3 separate regions of the Mus musculus genome follow, and regions 1 and 3 are each reported to be linked to region 2. The links are microRNA targets in miRTarBase. Many come from high-throughput screens and were not tested one by one. Region 2 holds a microRNA gene; each other region holds the end of a gene's coding sequence.
The links. Region 2 holds the annotated microRNA mmu-miR-1192 (AAACAAACAAACAGACCAAAUU, at 2,772-2,793, shown strand). A microRNA usually pairs through its seed, bases 2 to 8, with sites in the 3' UTR of a target mRNA and lowers its output. Matches are read on the target gene's strand: a 7mer-m8 pairs with bases 2 to 8, a 7mer-A1 pairs with bases 2 to 7 and ends in A, and an 8mer does both.

Region 1 (5,073 bases), not on the chromosome of region 2:
TAGAGTTTGTACTACCATGCGCAAAGCCTTGAGTTCAATTCCCAGCATATCAGTAATAACGGTAAAACTCCCTCCATGCAAACTCCTCACTTGGTAACAGAATTTATACTGTGGGCTGCACCCTCTGATCTGCAGTCAAGCTGCGTAGCCTTGCTCATCAGCACTCTGTACCCTGGGATATTAGGTCTTTTATTCATAACAATCAATTACTTTACACTCTCGTTGACAAGTTGCTTAGACTCTCAAGTCATTTATGTGTGTATCTGCCCCTGGTAGACCATGCCTCTTCAAGGTCAGAAGTGTTTTGCAGTGCCCTTCCTCTGTTCTGTTCTAAGGTGCTTCCAAGGGTCCTAACAACACAGCAACCGAAAGCCAACGCAGAGTTTTAATTTGTTGCCCAAGTCCCTAACCATCCTAGCAAAGTGCTTTTCTCGCAATGACAATTTCACCTGTGTCATTTACCTATGATGTCACTGCGGTAAAAGAAATAGGAAGAGGTGAAAGGCACTTCACCTCCAGGAGTCTGCAGCATCTTTCAGCTGTGTGGCCCTGGAAGGGTTGCATCGCCAAGAGATGCTATTTTTGTTTCTGGTGTGTATGATGTGTGTGTTTGTGTGTTTTTGTGTTTGTGTACCTATGTGTGTTGTATATTATGTGTGTGATATGTGTATATATGTATGCATGGTGTTTTGTTTGTGATGTGTACGTGTGGCCTGTGTGTGGTACATATGCATGAGTAGGTTTCACAGGTGCTAGGACACAGGGCGTCTTCTTCTATTACTCCCTGTCTTACTGCCTGCAAGCAGGGTCTCTCACTGAAGCAGAAACTTGCTGTTTGGCATACGCTGACTGGTCAGCTATCTAAAAAGATGCAATAGTCTGTCTCCACCGTGCTTGGGTTACAGTGCACACAGCCATGCCTGGCATTTACTTGGAGGCTGGGATTGGAGCTCAGATGTGCATTGGTAGGGCAGGTGCTCCTTCCCACTGCATGTCTCCCCAGGCCGCTCTGTCTTCATTCAAGAAGGAAGGAGACAGGATTATCTAAAACCATGCCCTATTTGGCTTTCCCCCACTAAAGCTAACCACCGCCCTTCTTCCTGATTTGTTCATGTCACACAGCCAACCCCATCCTTTCCAAGTCAAACGGGAAGCAAAATAATATTCAACACACAGTAAAAAGAATTTGCTGGGGTTGGGGATTTAGCTCAGTGGTAGAGCGCTTGCCTAGCAAGCCCAAGGCCCTGGGTTCGGTCCTCAGCTCCGGAAAAAGGAAAAAAAAAAAAAAAAGAATTTGCTGGGCCAGCAAAATGGCTCCATGGGTAAAGGCATTTGACCAGAATTCAAGAGGGTATACCTCTGACCTCTAGATGCAGGTGGCGGTAGGTAAATTCCCCTGCCCCATAAATAAATAATTGTAAAAAGAAAATTTAAAATAGAACCAGGCAAGCCGGGTGTGGTGGCGCACACCTTTAATCCCAGCACTTGGAAGGCAGAGGCAGGTGGATTTTTGAGTTCGAGGCCAGCCTGGTCTACAGAGTGAGTTCCAGGACAGCCAGGGTGATACAGAGAAACTCTGTCTTGGGGGGGGGGGGGGGGATGACAAAAAAACAAACAAACAAAAGAAACCAAACCAAACAAAACCAAACTACCTGGCAATGGGTGGTGGTGGCACCCTCCTTTAGTCCCAGCACTCAGGAGGCAGAGGCAAGCAGATCTCTGTGAGTTTGAGGCCAGCCTGGTCTACAGAACAAGTTCTAGGACAGCCAGGCTACACAAAGAAAATGTCTTGAAAAACCAAAAATAAAAATAAAAAAATAAGGGGCTCGAGGTTAAGAACACTGACTGGTCTTCCAGAGGTCCTGAGTTCAATTCCCAGTACCCACATGGTGGCTCACAACCACCTGATTCTCTCTTTTGGTATGTGTGAAGACACAGCACTCATATAAAATAAATAATTAATAAATCAAATGCTTGATGGTACTGGAGAGATGGCTCAGTAGGTTAGAATTCTCACTACTTCTGCAGAGGATGAGTTCAGCTCCTAGCACTCACACAAGGTTACCTCCCACTGCACGTAACTCCAGCTCCTGGACGGAGGGCCTGACAGATAGCCTCCTTTAGTCTACTTGGACAACTATGCATACACATGACACTGACACACATACACACACAAACACAGAAAGAGAGAGATTGATTTAAAACAAGGGCTAGAAAGATGGCTCAGCAGCGAAGAGCACTAGTTGAGTTTTCAGGGGACCCAGGTTGCATTCTCAGCATCTATGGCAGCTCACAGGAAGGAGTCTGTAGCTCCAGTACCAGATGATCTGAGAACCTCTTGTTCAGAGAGCTCCATGGGCACATGATGCACTTAAAGGCAAAACATTCACAAAATTTAAAAAAAAAAAATTTTTTTAAAAATATTCTCAAACCACTTTTTGAGTTTTAAACAAAATGTTTGATCAATGTTTATTCTCCCCATCATCTGCCTTTGATCCTTCTGCTTCCTTGCTTGCTGGCTTGGTTTGTTTTGTAGCTCAGGCTGCCACATAATTTGCTAGTAGAACAGGCTAGCTTCTAATCCAGAGACCCACTTGCCTCTGTCTCCCAAGTGCTGGGCTTAAAGGTGTGTGCCACCACTGCCCAGCTTCTTTTCTTTTCCTTTGTTTTCTGTTTGTTTGTTTTCTGCTTTGGGGGTTGTTGCTGTTGATTTGGGTTTTTGAGACAGGGTTTCTCTGTGTAGCCTGGGTTGTTCTGGAGCTCATTCTGTAGGCCAGGCTGGCCTTGAACCCACAGAAGTTCTCCTGTCTCTGCCTCTTGAGTGCTGGGATCAAAGGTGTGCTTCTGCACTCAAGAGACCCTGCCCATGTAATTCCCAGAATGGCTGGCACAGTTTTAGAATAACCCTCAAGGGTGGGTCTTCTGTCCTCAGGTCAGTCATTTCCAGACTCACTTGTTTATGACACAATCACATTTTAACAATGTGAATGGAGAAGCCAGACCAAGGCGAATCCATAGAGCCCCTTTACATCTTCAAGGCATAAGGCTTCAAGGATTGAAGCCATAGTGAACAGCAAAGAAGAACCACAATACACTCACAAAGTGTCTGCATCAACTGTATTTACTGCTAGAATTTCAACTTTTTCTTTCTTAAGTGTCAGAGAAATAATGGCATAGTAGGAAGACACCCAAGGAGGCAGGGAACATTTGTATCACAAAGTGCCACAAAGTTGATAAATGTAGGTTGCTAATAACTCTGAAGTAAGCCAGGCGTGGTGGCGCACGCCTTTAATCCCACGCTTGGGAGGCAGAGGCAGGCGGATTTCTGAGTTCAAGGCCAGCCTGGTCTACAGAGTGAGTTCCAGGACAGCCAGAGCTATACAGAGAAACCCTGTCTCGAAAAACCAAAAACCAAACAAACCTCTGACATACTCTTGATGAACAGGCAGGAATCACTGAATGCTCAGTGCAATGAAAAGAACAAAACATGTAGGCAGCTATAAGAACACTCAGTAGGGGACAGGACTCTTGGCAACCTGGTCATCAAATGAACTTGAGTTCCAGCCAGCAAGTGACCTGGCTTTAAGACATCCTGCTTAAGGGGAATTCAAGTTTCAGCCAAGCGGCTAGAACCAAGTCAACCTATTTTTCTTCTCTCCAGCTTCCCCAATGCCTTGAGTGGTGGGGTTGTAACAGGTCAGATCCAATGCAGGATCCCTTTTAAAAAGGGGTCTCAAAAGATAGGCTACTGCTAGGGAACTAAGCGTAAGTCACCTGAGAAAAGAGGAGTAGGGAGGGAGGTGCACAGGCACACGTGGCTACAATGTATCCACATATGCTGGGCTACAGGCTCAGTGCACTTAAACAGGGGGAGTGGGGCTAGCCTGATGCTTCAGGGACATCCTACTCACCGGCAAGTTTCACATCCAGAAACCTGCTCATTTCTTCCCCCAGAAGAGCAAAACAGCAACCAGGGACAGGCCCCAGTTAGCCTCCCCAGGTCCCTGAGAAACAGGCAACACAGGCAGCAAGGTCCCCCAGAGCTGGTCCCAGTCCCAGCAGACAGACACGGGGAGCTCTCTAGTCCTTAGGGAGAGAGCCAAGAAATGGCTCATCACAAAGTCCAGGGCTTCCAGCCCTTAGCGCAGACAAAGATAGGATCCCGTGGGAAAGGTTCCACTGACTCCATGCATAGGGTACAACAGACTGGGGGTGGTTTCTGTGATGCCCTCATGTGATCCAGCACCAGAACATTGTGTGACGTATATAGAAACATACACTGGAAAAATACATTATAATCTGGCGTTCAGGAAGTACTGAAACCCGCCTGCGTGTGCTACATCCCATCTACTGTAGCACAGGCTGCACGCAATGAACACCAGTCAACTCTCCCGGCAACCAGAAGGTTCCTCCTCCGCAGCCCATTTGGAATGTTAGGATCTTTGGGTCTCTGGCCTTCGGGGCCTCCCCAGAGACCTCTTCACAAGGATTGCAGAATACACTCCTTGCCTCCGCTGGCCAGAGAGTTTCTCCACAGTGGTGGTGGCAGCAGTAACGTCAGCTCAGATATAGTTGGTAGAGGGCTGCCGGGCACTGAGGCGCTGCATGTGACAGCCGTGGCAGAGCAAATGTCCATCAAGAGGGAAACAGCAGCAACCTTCCTCGTCACTCAGCTGCATGCGGCAGTCCTAGGGAAGAAGGCAACTGGTTCACTTCCACCCAGGCTCCCTACCCTGAGGCCATCCTGGGAGACTCCGGGTGACTGGACAAGTGAGTGGTAAGGCCCCAGGGAGGGTGAAGGGTGAAAGGGTGGACTTGAAGTGAAAACCCGAGAAATACTTCTTCTGGACACCAGGGGTCGCTGCAGCAGCAGAAATCATGAGACAAGCCCCATTCCAGCAGTTCAGAGGCTGGGGAAGCCAGATTCCAGATTTAAAAAGAACTAGGATTAGAAAGAAAAGCTAGAGGACAAGAGAGACTGGACATAGGTCACTGCAGTGTCCTGGTTTTCTGTATCCTAAATCCCTCCCACAGATGCCCAGTCATTCCAAGAATCCCCCTTCCAAATTCCGA
Region 2 (5,078 bases):
CCCGGCTCGGTTGTTGATGCCTATCCCCAAGAACCAGTCAGTCGTTCTGCAGCGTCTGTGGGAAACTCCCTAAGTGAACTTCCCAGGGAGAAACATCACAGGGCACGCTGGGAAAGTATCTGACAACGATCTTCCCTAATAAGTTCATTGAGAGGAAGAAAACGGGGCAGATGGTTTCTCGTACTCTTTCTGCAGGCCCTAAAAGCCACAGGGCTCTAGCTCTTCTTGGAGAGCCTGCCTCTTCCGAGCATTAGCCTTGTTGGTTTTGAAAAACAACACCCAGGCTTCTTGTGTTTCTTAGTCTGGTTTTTCTTTTCTCTCTCTCTCTCTCTCTCTCTCTCTCTCTCTCTCTCTCTCTCTCTCTCTCTCTCTCTCTCGCCTTATCTATTCTCAGGGTTGGGGGAAGCTAGCTTACAGCTAGAAACCTCCCCCACATCACCCTCCTACCCTGCCTTAGTGTTTCTCCAGAAAGCCCAGCGCCCACGGAGGAGCGTAAATTAATGCCTAGTAATTGGTACAAAGGCACTTTCTGTTTCTATGCAACACACGCAAAAGGGAGAGAGGAAAAAAAGAACCCACAGATGTTAAAAAGGGAAAGAGAGATCCTCCCAGCAGTGGTCGTGGGTAATCCTGGCTCCCAGGCTGCCCCACTTTTTGTTGGAAGTTAGTCACAGGCCTAAGCCTAGTGCACTTGGTGGTGGTAATTGTTGGTCTAAAAAGAATAGACCTTGGAGGTTGGACGTGACCTTGAAAGGTCATCTCATCCATCATTTTGTCTGTAAAAGAGCATGTGCCCACCCTCTGAGATGGGCTTGATCTGCAGGAGCATTGGAGGAACTTGGGAGATTTGGAGGCACATTGCCAGGATACAGAAGCCCTCTAGCCTTCGCTAGCATGTGACTCTGAGCTTCTGGAATCTTCTGCGGCCTGTAGTTTTTCAGTAGAAAATGTTAAAGCCCGTGGTGGCTTTCAGCTCGCTTCTGAGAGCGCTCATGTCTCCCTCCCTTGTGAGCTCCAGGGGCTTTGAATCTGTGATTAAGGAGGTTTTATTTATATTGTTGGTTTAGAGCTGTGCCGGATGGATGCTGATGCCGCTTAGATGAGTTAATCAGGTATAGGGGCTTGGGGGAGTGGCCCAGCCTCTTCCTCTCGTGCCCAGCCAACCTCAGTTCCTGAAGCAGCTCCAGGCCAAGCTCAGAGTCCTTGCTTTTTCCTTCCTGGAAGGCCAAGAGTTAGTATTTGTCTTGCCTCCTCAGTAAGTGTAGGACTAGCAGTGATATTGGGAGAATGGCGTCCTCCACCAGAGTAGGGAGGAACCCAAATTTTTTTTTTTTTTTTTAATTTCTTGGGTCTTTCTCCACATTCATTCCCACTTGTTCCTAAACACACACGTTTGTGAGGTGTGTCTTCAAGCCTCTTTTTGTCTTAGCTGCACACTTCCCAGGTGCTCGGGGCTTTGGAAGCCTGTGGTAAGAGCTGAGAATCTGGACCTGGGATCCAAAGGTTTCCACTCCATCATCCCAGGCCAGAGCTGCTGGGTCTTTGCGTGAATGAAAGTGTTTTCTGGGGTTGGGGGATGGAACCTGGGCCTCCTGAGTGCTGCTAGCACTGTGTCTTGGGCCCCTGAAATTTATTGATTTATTTTTTGTTTGTTTGTTTTTCGAGACAGGGTTTCTCTGTGTAGCCCTGGCTGTCCTGGAACTCACTCTGTAGACCAGGCTGGCCTCGAACTCAGAAATCCGCCTGCCTCTGCCTCCCAAGTGCTGGGATTAAAGGCATGTGCCAACACTGCAGATCATTGTGGCTCAGAACAATGGGAGAAAGGTTGGGGGACTTCAGCACCTGCCCTTTACAGGGGATCAGCTCTGCTAAGATCACAGTTAGTGACGACAAGGCCCTGGCCCATCAGAATAGTGAGTGACTTCTCAGGAGCTCTAGCTAAGGCAAGGGGCTTCCAGAAGAGCCTTTACCTTCACCATAGAAACAGAGGTACCGTGATGGGAGCATGCACCTGCCCAGGCCTAACCTAACCCTGACTCCATAACTCTCATCACAAAGACTCAAGCAAAGCTTTTATCTCCCTGAAACCTCAGGTTTCTCACCTGTCAAATGGGGTTCCATAATTATATATATTCATGAAATTATGAGGCCACGTTCAGATGAGTCATTTAAAAGATTATGCATGCCAACCTTTTGCTGAGGATTACTACAATTAAAAAATATATATTTTACATACATATCCCAGACACCTTTGAGAGCCTTAGAATTTTTGTTTAGAATTCTAGGTGGACTCAGGATGGTGCTGAGCAATGGTGACAAGTGAAAGGTGTGTTAGATGGCGACAGCCATTGAGACTTAGTGAGCACTATCGTCCTGAACATGTAGTATGTCTCAGAGCCTGAGCTAAGTGGCTTACGTGCATTTCACTTGAATGTTAATCCCATAAGACCGAATAGAAGTGTGTTGCTTTTCTTGTTTAAACAGGAGGAATCAGACTCGTCCAAGGTTATGCTGAGATATTCCTACTGTTGTTTCAAGGTCTAAGTTGTACGTGAGGGCTGTTGAGTGGCTTGCTCCCAGTGAGAAGAGATTCTGTATTTATTCTTATGGCTCTTTTGGGTTTGGCCCTAGAGCCACCATCTTAAGCTGTCTTCCTTGTGCCCCAGGTCTGATGTGAAGATAGTTTTCATGAGTTTTAGTTAGGAAAGTCAACAAAAATAACTGCTCCTGACCTTGTCACCCGAAACTATTTCCTTCCAAACAGTAAAAACAAACAAACAAACAGACCAAATTTGTCATTGTTGTTTCGATTTGCTCTTTTTGTTTGTTTGCTTTTGTGTTTTGAGACAGGGTCTGGCTTGTATAGCTCATGCCAGCCTGCAACTCTATGGTCTAGGCTGTCTTTCTGCCTCAGCTTCCAGACTGCTGAGATGACAGGCCAGTGCTGCCACACCTGCCAGGGGCTGGGTTTGGGATCCATAAATAGGTTGCAAGCAAGAAAGTCCAGACTTGGACTTGCTCTGAGCTGGGCGTTGTGTCTCTCACCTATAATCCCAACACTTGATAGGCTTAGGCAGCAGACAACTGCCACGTGTTAGAGGGCACACTAGGCTACTTAGCAAAACTTAAAAAAAGATTAAAAATGGAGATCCAAGTTCAGGAGTTGCTGAATGCAGATGGACATTCAGTGCCCCCTCTCTCTATGGCTTTGCCACCCTCTTGCTGGCTCTGGCTTCATTCATGAGCAGGCTGTCTCTGAATGGTACTAAAATGGCTGCCAAGCAACACCAGACTCACTTCCTGCCAATTCAGCAAAGCCCCACAGAAAGACTACTTCCCATTCCTAATGATTCCAGCAAACAACCCAGGCTGAAAGCCACGGCTAAGCTTAAGTGGTGTGTCCCTTATGAAAACAGACTTATTTATCCAAGACTCTCAGGTCTGAAGGTGTGGGCTCAGAGAAAGGACTGGCTGCAAAGGGAAGCAAGGTGCACTGTTCCTTACCAGTAGAGGAAGATAGAGGCCAGACAAGGCGAATCAAACACCGATGTCCACTTAGGCTTGCAAATAGGCTGTGCCAAAGAGCAGCATTTATTTTCTCTGCTCTCCTGAGCTTAGCAGAAAAGATAGGCTCTGAGCGAATGGACAGAAAGGACCTGGCAGAGTACAGATAATTTCAACATATTTTACAAGTGCTCATGCACTCACAGGCCCCCCTGAGGAGATGATTGGGGAACCAAGACCAAACAAATGCTTCACATGGGACAAGTTTTATAAGCAGCCGTGTGATCTTCAGGGTTTTCACATCATCTATTCCAGTGCTCTGAGGGATGAAATGAATCACATTTACGTGAGCATTTATTATCCCAGGTGTTACTTAATAGAGAAGGTCTCTGTAAAGATGAGCCATTTATGTAGTGGTTCCTATCGAGATTCCAAAGTCCTTTCAATGTGCACCGTACTCAACAGAAACACCACAGTAAATACAGGAAACAGAAAATAGAGCTTACACACACACACACACACACACACACACGCCCCAAAGTGACTTAAATTCCTGGGCTGCCGTAATTCCGTTGTAGTTGTTGTATCATTACAGTTTCAAAGACAGTAGCAGAATGAAGTTGGGCGTGGAGTGCATGCCTCTAACCTGAGCATTTCGGGAGGACTAAGCAGGAGGGATGAATTCTGAGAGCATCCAAGGCCGGCTTGGGTCACTTGTCCAGATCCCATGGTGGGCAGGAGGCGGGGGGGGGGGGGGCGCGCCTCATGTTTGGAGAGCTCAGACCCAACCTTCATAGTTTCTGGTGATGAACACTGAATCAGGCCAATCTCTGACTCATTTTGTTGCAGAAATGAGTGGTTCAGTGGAGTAAGACTCTGTCACCACAGCCATACCCTGGTACCAGCAATGCGAAGTCCCCAGGGGGGAAGCTGGAGACAAATGATGGCATAGCATTGCCTGTCTGCCTCATCTGTCACAACCTACCTAGCTAGCTGGTAGAGTGGGCATAGTTACTAACCGCCCCCCCCCACCCCCGTTGGAGCAAAGCTCTATCTTGGCAGTATAAGAGTTCTTAGGATCAGTGAGTTTGTAAAGATACGATTCTACAGCTACACTGGCCTCAAACTCACAGTGATCCTTCTGCCTCAGCCTCGCAAGTGCTGGAATTATAGAAACAGCTTGTTAACACATTACATTGTATTATCTTTCTGAGGTAAAACTCAAGACAGCCATGCTAATTTGGGATTCCTCGCGTTCTTTCCCTGGTTGATATCTGGAATAGCAAAACTCACAGGCTGCTTTGGCATCATGAAGGGTCATCCCTGCAGCCTGGTGGTCTCCACTGGCTGTCACACACCCACTGTATGCTGAAGAGTGAGATTCTGGGCACTGTGACATTGCTTTCCTCTGGTGGCACCTAGTCCCGTCTCAACCCGGGTCCCACTTGACCACAACAAGCCAGCCCCTCAGGTGCCGTTCCAGTAGGACCTTCCTAACCTGGGCTTCCACAAGTTGCACTTGGTCTGGCGTGGCTGGGAGGTAGCAGCCTTTTCTGAGCACTTCCTGGTCTGAC
Region 3 (5,073 bases), not on the chromosome of region 2:
TTCCGGCTTCCTTGCATAGTATAGTCTCTTGCTGCCCTCTTGTCTCCTGTGCTCTGCCCCCCTGAACTTAAGGTCCCTGAAGAGGTGAGAAAGGTTCAAGATGCACACCTACTACTCTTAACTTCTTGAGGACTTGGGAAGGAACTCCTAGGGCAGCCTGACTCTGTGCTAAGCCACCGTGGAACCGTGTTCCCCTGTAGGTGGTCTTTTGGAGTGCTCTTGTGGGAGATCTTCACTCTGGGTGGCTCCCCATACCCCGGTGTGCCTGTGGAGGAACTTTTCAAGCTGCTGAAGGAGGGTCATCGAATGGACAAGCCCAGTAACTGTACCAATGAGCTGTAAGCATAGGCTAGAGGGGAAGGATGGGGGGTTAGTAGTCGGCACTGTTTGGATCCACCACTGGCAAGCTGGGTTGGATGTTGGGACAGCTTCCTCAGGTGATGGTGGCTTATTCGAGGTTCCTGAGGTCTCAAGCCTGGCTCTGAAGGAAGCAGGAGCATGGTGGGCAGGGGTTGAAAGGTCTCTTTGGGAGAAGTGGCCTCCCTGTCCATCCCTCCCCAAGCCCTCTGGTCCAGCTCTGCCCTGGTCCTTCCTCTCTCTCTAACCTCACCATCCTGCTTCAGGTACATGATGATGCGGGACTGCTGGCATGCAGTGCCCTCTCAGAGACCTACGTTCAAGCAGTTGGTGGAAGACCTGGACCGCATTGTGGCCTTGACCTCCAACCAGGTAGGGCTGTCCCCCGGGGTTGGAACTTGGGCCTCTGTCACATAGGCTCCTGGGAAGGTTTGGGTGCCACCCACCGATCCCTTTCTGTCACAGGAGTATCTGGACCTGTCCATACCGCTGGACCAGTACTCACCCAGCTTTCCCGACACACGGAGCTCCACCTGCTCCTCAGGGGAGGACTCTGTCTTCTCTCATGAGCCGTTACCTGAGGAGCCCTGTCTGCCTCGACACCCCACCCAGCTTGCCAACAGTGGACTCAAACGGCGCTGACTACCAACCCTGTCCCCAGTTTTCTCCCATTCCGTCGTCACCCGTGCCCCTCACCCACAATCCCCTTGTTGGACACACTGCCTTTCTCCTCCTCCTTTGCCGCTGGCAAGAGCCAGTGCCTGACTGAGGCCTTCCTGTGTTGTGGCCTTCCCCCTCCATCACCCCCAAGACCCCTCTTCTCCCTCTTCTTAGCCTGCTGTGTGAGAGAGGAGCCAAGAGGCAGGTGCTTGCCGACGGCCGCATCCTCCTTCCCAGGTGTTGGACCAAGACCCGCCCCGCTGCCTGGCACTGCTTGGAGGTGTGCAGAGCGGAAGCAAGTGGAGCATCCGGGGCATTCCTGTTGACCCATCAGCCCCTTCTGTTCTGGCGGCAGGGGCCTTGGGGCTCCTGGAAGCCGTGAGGTTTCTGTTTAGGCCTTAACCGAAGGCAACCTCTGCTCCAGATGGATGGTACCAGTAGCTTCTTAATTCCAATACTAATTTGCTTTGCTGACCAAATACCTGCCTGGTACCAGAAGACAGGGAGGCAGAGACTGGGAGCCGTGATGTGCCCTTGGGCTGAGCCCTAGACTTGGGGCTCTGTACATAGCTATGAAGAAAAACACAAAGTGTATAAATCTTGAGTATATATTTACATGTCTTTTTAAAAAGGGTCGTTACTAGAGATTTACCCATGGGGGAGACGCCCAGGGTAGCATCCGTTGCTATATATTAAAAACAAACGAACAGAAAGAAAAAAAAAAGGAAAATGTTTTTTAAAAGGTCATATATTTTTTTGCTACTTTTGCTGTTTTATTTTTTTAAATTATGTTTTAAACCTATTTTCAGTTTAGGTTTCCCTCAATAAAAAATTGCTGCTGCTTCATTTTTATCCTGGGCGTGTGAAAAGAGAGCAGGTGTCCAGCGCAGAGGAGGGAGACAGGGGGTAAAGGGCCATGAGCTGGTCTTCCCCCTGCCCCCCATGACCTCTGTCTCCTGGATTGTGCCCCAGACCTCCCAGCCAAGCCTTCTATCTCCCGATGCATTGGGAACAGCAGGAGAAGACTGAGGTCCTGAGGGCAGAGAGCCAAGCTCGCACACTTGATTGTTTCCTCGGAGGAGAGAGTGAGAGGATGAGGTTAGCCAGAGGGTAGAACTGGACAGAAACCCAAACCCTAGACCCTGTACATTCAGATGTCTTGTCTATCTTCCCCAACCTACTCCTCATATTCCTCTCCTGTAAATATCCTCCCCTTCCCTGTTGGTCTCTGTTACCCAGTTGGGTCTGTCCCTGAGCTTGGCTTCCTATAGTTTTTCCTTCACAAACTCCACCCATCCCTCAGGAAACAGAAAACGATCTCTTTGGTTGGGGTCAACTTGGCAACTCAATTCTGCCACCTGCTGGTTGCTTTGGTACCTTGGTCTCTTATTCAAACCCACACCACTCAAGCCTTAGAGGGTTTGTTTTTGTTTTTTGTTTGTTTGTTTGGTTGGTTGGTTGGTCTTTTTTTTCTGGGTCTGCTGAATACAAACCTGTTCAGTATGATTTCATCTGTAGGGGTTAGGGCTGCTTCTTTAAATGCAGTTTTGGCAGCTGTGGTTTGGGTCATTGTCATAAGAGTTCTTATCGTTGTTTCTCTCTGTACACATGTAACTGTCAAAATATTATGAATGGTTTTTATGCTGAAAGAAGACATCATTTGGCAAAGAGGGCTAGGGAATGAATTTAGCACAAACTCATTTTCTTGGAGACCGTGTATCATAGTGGTTTTTTTTTTTTTTCTTTCTCTTGTTAAAACTGAACATTATTTCTGCCTCAGGTCTACTTGACTCACTGCTGTGTGGATGGAAGGAGAACACAGAAAGGGCTTAGTGTGACTCAAGGAGAGGAGCTAGGAACTGGAAGGAACTGAAGTCCCCTCTGTTACTATTCAGATTGCCCGCAGACGGCCCCTGGGACAGGGGTGGCTATCAAATAGAAAGTAGTGACATTGACATGAAGGGAAATGAAATGGCTATTTCACTTAGAGGACCAGATTAGGTCTCGTGGGAGGGGGAACCCAGCTTACAGAATGAAGATGTTACTGTCAGAGCACAGCATCTGTCTGGTTTCCTGGGGGTTAAAATATGGCCCAGGCATCAATCAATACTGCTTCCCCATCTTTTCTAATTGCCATAGGCTAAAGGCCATCAGTCCCCTGGCTCTGTTAATGTAATGTATCGATTTCAGGTAAGTAAGATTGAACATAGATGAAGTAAGAAATCGGCCTTAATGGTAATGAACTCTGTTTATCAACTGCCACTGGGTGGAGCCAGCAAGCTAAAATATCCTCCTACACACAGACAGTGTTAGGTTATACTGTCAGAGCCACTGTCCTCTGAAGTAACAGACCTACCTGCAAGCGGGAACTTTTGGCCTGGATATAGCATTGTCAGACTCTGGACATGACCAATATGTCTTGTACAGAATTGGACATGGCACAAGTGCAGGGCCATACTATTAAGTAGCAGCAACAACTATTACAATTCTGTGTAGAATGTGTGCTGTGTCTAATGTCGCTACAGGCGCATGTTAGAGCTTAAAACTGTACCCAATGAGCTTGTTAGCAGCTGTTAGCAGCTGGTAGAGCTTGGTTCCACCACATATGCAGGAAATAGCTGGGAGGGAGAATGGAGGGCTTTGAAGCAACATGGCATGTAGAAACCAAGAAGGGAGTAGACCAGCAAGAACCCTGAAGTTGGCTGGTCCTGGTAGTGAATGCCTGTAATCCCAGACTCAGAAGGCAGAGACCGGTAGATCTTGAGTTCAGGGACAACTTGGTCTACATCGTGAGTTCAGGGCCTGCTGAAGATGCACAGTGAGACTCTTGTCTAAAAGGAAATTAAACGAACCAGAACACACTGAAGTTATGAAGGACTCTGGAACTGGTTCCCTCTTGTTTGACACACAGCAGCATTCAGAATCTTTACTGCCTGCTGGGTACGTGCATGTCCTGGTGCACAGAAGCAATGCATTCAATTGCCGTGCTGTCGGAGGTTCCAGTGGTGTGCTGAAACTGGCTCTCTAAAGGAAAGTATGTGTGTCAGCCTGGGGTTATGGCCTAGTAACCCAAATTTTGAAAACAAAAGGTGATGGTCTTTAATCCTGAACTCAGGGGGCAGAAGCCAGTGGATCTCTTAAATTCAAGGCCAGCCTGGTCTATATATTGAGTTCTAGGTCAACCAAGATTGCATGGTGATACCCTGTCTCCAAAAAAGTAAAATGGGGGATGGGAGTGGGGTGGGTCGGGGCACAGGTGGAGTCCTCAATGGCCAGACTCCATGACTTAACTACTTCCATTTGCTCATTGAGAAGGCCAGAAGGAATCCACGTGCATCAGGGAGATGAGAGGATTAAGCCAGTTAAGTAGCTAATCCCTTTCCCATATTACACATCTATAGTATGCACTAAGTTTAAAAACCCACCACTTCCAGACGGAAGTTGTATTGTGAGATACCTTAGATTAGAGCAATGGCAGCTTCCCAGAGTGGTGTATGAACACAGCCTACAGAAGTCAGTTGATTAGCACACTGGGTGGGACTGGTCCTCCATGACTAGGGAGCATTTTGAGGAGGTACATGCTCTGGGCTGGGGTGTAGTCCAGTTGCTTGAATGATGATTAAGGAGTTCATTGGCTATGTGGTAGTGGCACACACCTATAATCCCAGCACTCCTGAGTTCAAGGCCTGGGAAGTGGGTGGAGATGTCTGTGTCTTGTTTGTTTCGAGATAGGGTCTCACTGTGTAGCTCTGGCTGTCCTGGAACTCACTCTGTAGACCAGCCTGGACTCCCAACTCACAAAGAGCCACCGGCCTCTCCTTCCAGAGTGCTTGAATTAAAGGTACGTGCCACCACGGTCTGGCATATAAGTGTTTTGTTTATATATGTGTGTGTGTGTGTGTGCACCATGAATGGTACCTGTGAAGTTCAGAAGAGGTTGCTGGATTCTGTAGAACTGGAGTTAGAAATTGGTCGTGGCGACCATGTGGGTGCTGGGAACCAGACACTGACCCTCTGCAGGATTTAGTGGTCTTCTGACGGGACAGTCCCTCCAGC

Region 1: miRTarBase lists Ajuba as a target of mmu-miR-1192. Seed matches in the 3' UTR shown: 7mer-m8 at 3,415-3,421.
Region 3: the mRNA of Fgfr1 is a reported target of mmu-miR-1192. Seed matches in the 3' UTR shown: 7mer-m8 at 2,437-2,443, 7mer-m8 at 2,454-2,460 and 7mer-m8 at 2,458-2,464.

The regions. Positions count from the first base shown.
Region 1 is chr14:54,564,369-54,569,441 of GRCm38, forward strand. It overlaps Ajuba (ajuba LIM protein), which reads right to left. Exons shown (of 8, transcript NM_010590.5): 8 at 3,101-4,688. The coding sequence ends at 4,563. Among named protein-coding and RNA genes, the nearest start is that of Ajuba, 11 kb to the right of the region's middle.
Region 2 is chr19:23,146,679-23,151,756 of GRCm38, forward strand. It overlaps Mir1192 (microRNA 1192), which reads left to right and starts at 2,753; the gene lies at 2,753-2,873. All of the region lies in intron 1 of Klf9 (Kruppel-like factor 9), which reads left to right.
Region 3 is chr8:25,572,923-25,577,995 of GRCm38, forward strand. Fgfr1 (fibroblast growth factor receptor 1) reads left to right here. Exons shown (of 18, transcript NM_010206.3): 16 at 201-338; 17 at 624-729; 18 at 823-2,796. The coding sequence ends at 999. Among named protein-coding and RNA genes, the nearest start is that of Gm16159, 19 kb to the left of the region's middle.